Linked DNA regions of Zea mays. The protein of the gene in region 1 interacts with the protein of each later gene in a pairwise test. Links are inferred from orthologs where the notes say so. Each region holds a gene or a part of one and is shown in the gene's direction. Other genes may lie near its edges.

What was found.
Region 2: the proteins of Ubiquitin domain-containing protein DSK2a (region 1) and peroxisome assembly factor 1 interact in binary tests that used the Arabidopsis thaliana proteins (3 or more experiments, as listed by UniProt). The link is inferred for Zea mays from reciprocal best matches to the Arabidopsis thaliana genes AT2G17190 and TED3.

Annotation. Positions count from the first base shown.
Region 1 is NC_050104.1:158,047,952-158,051,971, reverse strand, and holds the start of Ubiquitin domain-containing protein DSK2a, read left to right. Parts: upstream 1-1,206; 5' UTR 1,207-1,350; coding exon 1,351-1,576; intron 1,577-3,901; coding exon 3,902-4,020. UniProt on the Arabidopsis thaliana protein: Binds and presumably selects ubiquitin-conjugates for destruction. Prefers multiubiquitin chains rather than single ubiquitins, with a binding affinity for 'Lys-48'-linked ubiquitin chains.
Region 2 is NC_050096.1:176,258,536-176,262,835, forward strand, and holds the start of peroxisome assembly factor 1, read left to right. Parts: upstream 1-1,494; 5' UTR 1,495-1,627; intron 1,628-1,660; exon of another isoform or gene 1,661-1,755; 5' UTR 1,756-1,775; coding exon 1,776-1,889; intron 1,890-2,616; coding exon 2,617-2,730; intron 2,731-2,839; coding exon 2,840-2,996; intron 2,997-3,672; coding exon 3,673-3,809; intron 3,810-3,898; coding exon 3,899-3,999; intron 4,000-4,300. UniProt on the Arabidopsis thaliana protein: E3 ubiquitin-protein ligase component of a retrotranslocation channel required for peroxisome organization by mediating export of the PEX5 receptor from peroxisomes to the cytosol, thereby promoting PEX5 recycling.

The DNA of each region.
Region 1 (4,020 bases):
AGACAGGCTAGCACGAAACTTAAAGCGCCGCGAGCCAGGCCCGGCAGAAACGCATCGCGCGGCCGCACGCGCGCGGCCAGGCTCCGCTCAGCCAGCTCTTTACTCGTGCACGCATATCGAGACACGTTTTTAATTGGTTTTTTCATTATATCGTCTAATTAAAAGATTTAATCACCGAACCGATTTCATATCCGCGTTCCTGACATTTTTGCGAACGAAACTAGACCACTCATACTATATATATTTCAAATAAAAAAATTACTTGATTAAGATTAATATATAATTAGTGTATATTAACATGTAATTAGTATCTATTAAGCAATTTACCATATAATTAGTGTCTATTAATAGATTTTTTAATTTATTTAACAATTTTTTTAACTCATGCACCATGTACTCATGCAAGCAACCAAACAACATCTCTTGTGAACCAGACTGGCCACATACACACAACCAAACACGCTATACTGCATGCACTCAGCCAGTCCAGTCTGAGCCAGGCTCACTAGATACGAGTCAGGCTCACCCATACAAGTAACCAAACGCCCCCAAGGGACTCGCTCTTCTGCGGATGGTGCCACGGTGGACCGCTACACGCGCCAACCTCGGCACCCCATGGACTGCAGCTCCGGCAACCTTGCACCCCTTCCACCGTCTTTTCGTCCGTGCCACGGTTCCGCTTCCGGTCACCGACGGTCAAACCTCTCCCTTTCAAGTCACATATATGGCCCGCGGGCATCTCTTCTTCCTCCAATCCCTCGTCGCCGGCCACCCGTGACATGTTGACACAAAATTTCTTGTTTTTATGACTAGAAGCATGTAATTTTTTGTTTGTTTGATTGAATAAGCCAATTTCTATTTTATAATATAATTATATGAATGCTCATGTTTGTGGTTGTTTTAATATCCACTGGCTCATAAGCTTATTGACCTGCCAAACGAGTCGAGCCGAGTAAATCTTTTAGCTCGTTATAATAACAAGCCATCACGTCGACGACCCGATGTCTAGCCTACCCACAGCTGACAGCACGCAAGGAATCACGGCCATCCATCACTGTCGCGCAGTTATCGTCCGTCTCCCCACCAACGTCATTATTCATCCGTCCCGTCCCGTCCCGTGTGGCCTGTCCTTGTGTGGTGCCGGGTGCGTTGCCTTCTTCATCCTCGCACACGGCAGGCACGTGACCGACACCCCCAGCGCACGAACTCCAAAATAGCGAGCCGAAGGGGGCCACGACCACGAGTCCTCCACCTCCCTCTCCGCCGCGTCGCACGCGCTTGACGCGCGCCGAGAGCCGAATCGGAGCCACGAGGCAGCCGCCCCGGGCGGATCGATCCTAGGGCCAGGGCATGGGCGGAGGGGACGCCGACGCCGGCGGCGAGCCCGCGGACGCGCAGGCCACGCTCCACATCCGGTGCACCAACGGCTCCAAGTTCACCGTGCGGACCGACCTGGGCGCCACCGTCGGGGCGTTTAAGGCGATCGTCGCCCACAGCTGCGACGTGCCGGCGCCGCAGCAGCGGCTGATCTACAAGGGCCGGATCTTGAAGGACGAGCAAACCCTAGCCAGCTACGGTGCGTGCTTTCCCCTATCATCCTGAGAGTGCTCTACCCTTGGTGGTGTGTGGTTTCCCGTGTTACGCTGTGGGCTGTGGTCGATTTGGTTAGTCATGCGTGCGGCCTGCGATGTTGCACTTTAGATTCTCCCTTGCTTGTGTACTAGATGCAATGTCTGTTAATATATTTGCTGCCGGAAAGACAAGGAGGTTTGCTCCTTGGCGATGATGGTCATGGATGATTCCGTACATTCGGAATGCTCCGTGGTAGGTGCAGTGTGTACTACTACTTAGCGCAGGCTCGCACGTTGGTTGGCAGTTTACAATAGCAAAGACGCAGTAGGAGAGAACTACGTGCTGCTTAGATTCCTTGGCATAAATGTAGTTCTGAATATGCTGAAGCCATGTGTATACTGCACCCTTGCTGCGTGGTTACTGGTTAGGGTAGTAGAGTTTGTCAGCAGGTGACTGCAACTTCTGCATTCCATAATGTATATATGCTGATACCACGGTGGCATCTTAGTGATCTGTGACTTGGAAGGATCAACATTTCTATTTTGAGTTCTTACTCATAGTTTAAGGCCCCATTTGAATGCATTAGGGCTAATAGTTAGCTGGCTAAAAAGTTGCTAGTATTAGCTAACTAAACGGGTGTTTGAATGCACTAGAGCTAATGTTAGTTGGCTAAAAAGTTACTAGTGAAATTAGCTAACTAATAAATAGCTAACTAACTATTACCTACTTTACTAAGAATAGCTAATAGCTGAACTATTAGCTAGGGTGTTTGGATGTCTCCGGCTAATTTTAGCCGCTAACAATTAGCTCTAGTGCATTCAAACACCCCCTAACAAATAGTTGGCTAACTATTAGCTAATTTTAGCTGGGTTGAACCAACTAGCAACTAATGGGTAGTTGAGAATGTAGCTAATAGTTACCTGGACTACTAGCTGGGGTGTTTGGATGTCTCAAACTAAGAGGGTGTTTGAATGCACTAGAGCTAATAGTTAGCTAAAAATATACTAGTAGAATTAGCTAGCTAACAAATAGTTAGCTAACTACTAGCTAATTACTAAAAATAGCTAATAGTTGAACTATTAGATAGGGTGTTTGGATGTCTTTAGCTAGTTTTAGCCACTAACTATTATCTCTAGTGCATTCAAACACCCCCTAAAAGTAGCTAATAGCTAACTATTAGTTGGGTTGTTTGGATGTCTAGCTAATTTTAGCAGTTAACTATTAGCTCTAGTACATTCAAAAAGGGCCTTGCATTGGTAACAAACGCTTCTTGTCAACGCTTTTTATCGTGACCACATGTCAGCGGTAAGCATTAGCCTTACTTTTGATGTATTTTAAGGGGTGTTTGGTTTCTAGGGACTAATTTTTAGTCCCTCCATTTTATTCCATTTTAGTGTCCCTAAATTGCCAAATACGGAAACTAATAGATTTTTAGTTTCCGTATTTGGCAATTTAGGGACTAAAATGGAATAATATAGAGGGACTAAAAATTAGTCCCTAGAAACCAAACACCCTTTAGATGCAAACACGAACTATTCTTTCTATTTAGGGGGCATTATTCACGTGTTCAATCTCCGTAAACAGAATGGTTCAATATGAAATGGAAAAGATATATCTGAAAGATATCACAGCCTCAATGCTTTACAAATTTGATCTATGCCCATCGAAACTTTTTGTACACAACCTATTTTTATCTGCACCCACAAATACCTGATCATATTTAAATGGTTTGTCTTGATGTTACTGTTATAAATTGCGCTCTCAATGACAACATTTAAAACTTCTGATATATAGAGAGAACTTGTCTATGTTTCATACAGCAGGTTTAGAAGCGTTTGATCTTGTACATCAGACATACTGTTGTTTTTTTTGCTAACACAATAGATTATGTAGGGTTTTCATGTTGCATTTCTGATTCACCAGCAATTCATGTTCAGTAAACCAGCAGTTTGAATCTTTTGTAGAATCCTCATTTGTCAAAGCTGAGGTAGACTGTTACCACTTGCCAAATAGTACTAGCCAAACATGAAACTTAAATTTGTTTATGATGCATAACTGAGTTCTTTGGTAGAACATCAAATATCAACAGTGGGGATTTTATTATGTTTTTTTTTTGTGTTTTTATTTACACCTATAGATTTTGATCTCACTTGCAAAGGAACTTCTGAATTTTGTTAGTTTGGCGATGGAAACACTTTCGTGTCTGAATCGTAGCATTTTTTATATTTTGATTTGGCAAGCTGTTGCCTGATTTAGGAGCTTCACCAAGCAGTGCTCCCTTATTCTGTTTTTGTTATCCCTTGTGACCTTATATTGTATCTTTTTAAAGGTGTGGAGACAGACCATACAATCCACATGGTACGTGGTGCTGTGCTATCACCAACATCTACTGCACCTGCAGCCAACCAAGAACCTACCACTGCTGCTCCTGCCAGTTCCCCGGCAACA
Region 2 (4,300 bases), on another chromosome or scaffold:
TGCGGTATCCAGGGGCGGCAAGCGCCGCTAGGGTTTCGTGCCCAACAAGGCGGCGGTGATGGCAGGTCCAGCGAGGCGTGGGAACGGAGTCTTGGGGAGGTCCAGAGCGAGGGAGAGGGTGCGCCCGACGGCGGAGGTGGAGGCGGAGGGAGGGAGCGGTTGCCAGCGTGCGGAGGAGAACTGCGAACGGGAGGGGGCAGAGGGAGCTTCGCGTGGACGGGGAAGGGGCAGACGGGAGGCGACGCACGCACGACGGCTGACGGGCGACGCACGCAAAACAACGATGTGGGATGGACGGTGGAGATTGAGGATCGGCAGAACGGCAGAACGTAAGGGAGGCAGACTACTCTTACCTTCTTAATAAGTAGTACATATTTGTCTCATGGTGTTCCAGGGTCCAAGGATAAAGATATTATCAATATTTCTAGAGAAAGAGAAAGTAAAGTCACATCTTCAGTCTATGCAGGCTGTTTATTCAGTTTATTCAGTTTCAGTCAATAAGGCTTAGCTTGTAGTGTGTGTGGTCTGAAGCTTGCATGTGCATGTAGAGACTGTTTCTTCGACTTGTGCAGACTGTGCAGTTTTCAACTTGTTTCTTCAGTTGTTTAAGATTGTGCAGACATGTGCTCGTCTCTACTTTGTCAAAAAAAGATAGCGTTATTCAGACTGCAGTTTTCAGCTTGTTTGTTGATTGGGTTTATTCAGTTTTCAGTTTTGAGATAGCGTTATTCAGTTTTCAGTTTTTAGATAGTGTTATTCAGTTTTCAGTTTTCAGATTATTATGGAATAAACGAACAAATATTTGTTGATTGAGTTTAGGGATTGAATTCCTCAATGGATTGGGTGGAAAGCTTGATTCATCCAAACCATATATGAAAAAAATACAGCCCCATAAAATTCCTATGGTGCCGAACAGGGCCAAGATTCTGTTAAGACTGGGTTGGGAATTTACTTGTGCTATAGGCCCTGTTTGGCACAACTTATTTTCAGCTTATTCACAAATTTAAGCCGAAGTTCTGCCAAACAGATAGCTTCTGCAGCAGCTTATCAGTTCAGCTGCTTCTCCAAATGAACTAAAAGCAATAAGCAGAAGCTGCTTTTTACCAGCTTATCAGATAAGCTGCTTTTTCAACAAGCAGCAGCTGTACCAAACAGGGCCATAATAGCTTCCCCACGTGAGAGATGCCCAAGGAATGTCTTCTTTGTTGAAGAATTTGTAAACATACATGATAGATAAATTAGAATACCATATGTCTCATTATATTTCGTGCCCATGGTCTTATTGGATAATCTTATCAGGGCTAATTTAGAAAATCTATTTTCTCAACGAAATTCTATTTTTCCAAAAAAATTAGTTTATATTTTAAAAAAATAGAAATCACTTGGAAAAAAATATAGTTCTCAAACAGATTCCCTTATGCCCTCAACAGATTCCCTTTTTTCAACAGTTTTTTTTGAGGCAGACAACATGCACCCCCCCACCCCGCACCCAACCCCACAAAAAAAAAGGCCGTGTAAAAAAGGGAAAAAGAAAAAACCAGAGCAACGCAGCCGCAGGCTGGGTGAGCGGCGCGGGTCTTCGTCGGCCGGCCCCTTCACCGGTGGCGAGCATCCACCAGACCACCAGGTACGCCCCCACTCCTTTCGCTTCCCTGTGCGGAACCGAGGCACCCCAAATCTAAATCTACACTTTCCGATTCGCAACCGTTACATGCATATTATACCCAGTAATTACAATTTCACCCCTCCAAACAGTGGATGCGCCCCTGCCCCCCATGCCCCAGGTCGAGTCGGCCACTGCCTCGGAGGCGCCGCCGCCGCAGGACGCATGGCTCGTCGAGCTCGGCAGTCGCCTCCCGCAGTGGGAGTCGCTGCGGGATTCCTCCAAGGTACAGTCTACAGATGCCCCTGTTTTCTCCCATCCTAGGGTTTGTTCTGCTGTATGGTAGCGCTTTGAGATGCCACATAATTTCTAAGTTCTACGTGATGTGAGGTGCTGGAGATGGAGACTCGAAATCCCTCGCAAGCATATGGGATTTTAGTTTCCCCGAGGGCGAGGTCAACTAATTTGATTATTGCTAATTGTCGCTAGATTTTCTGTTCTGGGTATGGTTTTGCTTATGTAGATAGGTATGGAATGTCTCAAGCACTCGGAGGCATTATTTAGTTGTGAATTATGATGGTTGTTAATTCTGGTGTTGCTGCTGGCTCCTGGTTCTTCATTTTACTAACATGAAAAGGCTTAGAGGTTCTTAAGTAAAACAAGTTTTGCGATTGTCTGTCAGAACAGGCAGTGGCGGACCCAGGATTTCTTCAAGTCTAGGCAAATCGAGAACTAGGCAAGACAATGATGCTTGCAGTTGCAGGCCCTGAGAACAAGCATGATGCTTGCAGTTGCAGGCACCTAGCGCACTTAGGGGGTGTTTGGTTCCCAACTACTAAACTTTAGAACTTTTAGTCCCTAAAATAGGCAAATAGCAAACAGGGTGAGTAAAATAGCTCTTCCAAATAGGATTTATAGGGACTATAGTTTAGTCCCTAAAGTTTAGTAGGGTGACTAAAGGAACCAAACACCCCCTTAATTTGGGATGTAATGCCATTTTTTTTCTTACGCAGGTCATTATCCCGATTTCAATATCTAGGGTGAACCAGTTTGATGCTGCAAGGCTAGATGTTGAGATGTCGGCCATGTTGAAAGAGCAGCTAGTCAAAGTGTTCTCTTTGATGAAGGTGCTTGCTTTATTAACTTTGCTGATTTTTGTGTTGTTTGAGGCTTGCATAGAACTTAAGTGTGCTGCTAACTGTTGCTTTCAGTTTTGATGCCTTCTTTTCATATCAGCCAGGACTCTTATTCCAATATGAGCCTGAACTTGATGCTTTCCTTGAGTTCCTCATCTGGAGGTTCTCAATTTGGGCTGACAAGCCTACCCCTGGCAATGCACTGATGAACCTGAGGTACAGAGATGAGCGGGCAGCACCCATCACTGGAAAAGAAGGTATCTCTATCAAAGTTTATTTCAATATTTTTCTGACAGCCACTACCAGGGGGCATAGGAACTAGGATGTGCATCACTGCATTGTTTTTCTTACTGCTGCACACAATTAGAAAGTTACTAGTTTATCTCATAATCTGTTAGTTCGTTATTACTCATGATTAGTTGAGTATCTTTATTATTGTAAAAAAGTTGCATATGTTTAATATTCTTTGTTTATGGATATGCTCCTTAGTATTCATGTCTTCCACCATCTACATAAAAGATAGGACTGTCACAATGTATCCTTTATGTTCAAACAATGAAAATGGCTAACCATCTGCATTCTCTTGTCTAAAGTTTTCTTCATCTATGTCCATCCTCTTATGTTCAAGTGTCTCTTCCCCTCAATATGCACCCTTTTGCTCCCCTTATCATATTTACATGAACACATCAAATTACAGCTTGGTTGGAGCTTTTTTTTTGCATTGCATGCTATAGGCATTCTCATTGCCTTTATAAAAGCAAAAGTTGAAGTTAACTCTGCAATTGAACTGGATCACGCCTTTGTAATCTTATACACATTAGCTCATTTGTAACATTCCCAGGAGTTTATTTGCTACCGCTTTGTGTTGTTGGCTACTGATATGTAGATGAGTATTATCTGAGCAACATCTAATGGGTTCCATTTGCTTTTCAGTTAGAACAGGTTTGGAAGGACCTGGGCTTTCTGTTTCTCAAAAGATATTTTATTGTATTAGCTTTGTTGGTGGCCAATATGTATGGTCACGATTACAATCTTTTTCTGCTTTCCGTCGATGGGGCGATTCTGAACAGGTTAACCCTGACTCCTTCCTGAAAACTTACAATTATAGTTCACTGGTTTTAGTATAACTTAATATTAATTTTTCTATTTCATGATGTAGAGACCACTAGCTCGCCGTGCTTGGGCGTTGATGCGGAATGCTGAAGTATTTTATAGGGCTGCTTCATTCTTTAACCTATTATTGTTTCTTTATGGTGGAAGGTACCTTCCTATTCCTGTTTAATTATGGTCCTTTCTTGTATCATGAGGATGGTAGAAATTATCATTAATTATCATGGCTGTAGCCGGTGGTGCCTAGTTTAGCAAAGTTAACTATCTATCTGGAGATTAAATATTGCCAACATGTGCAGCATATACTGTCCACTGATAGGAAATTGACCAATGACAGTGTATTTGAATGAGCTAGATCAGCATGATTTGTGGGAAAATCGAAAGCTGCTCTTTTTTAATAGATTATCATCCTGTTCAATTTGTAGTTATTATGAAATTTATATGACACATG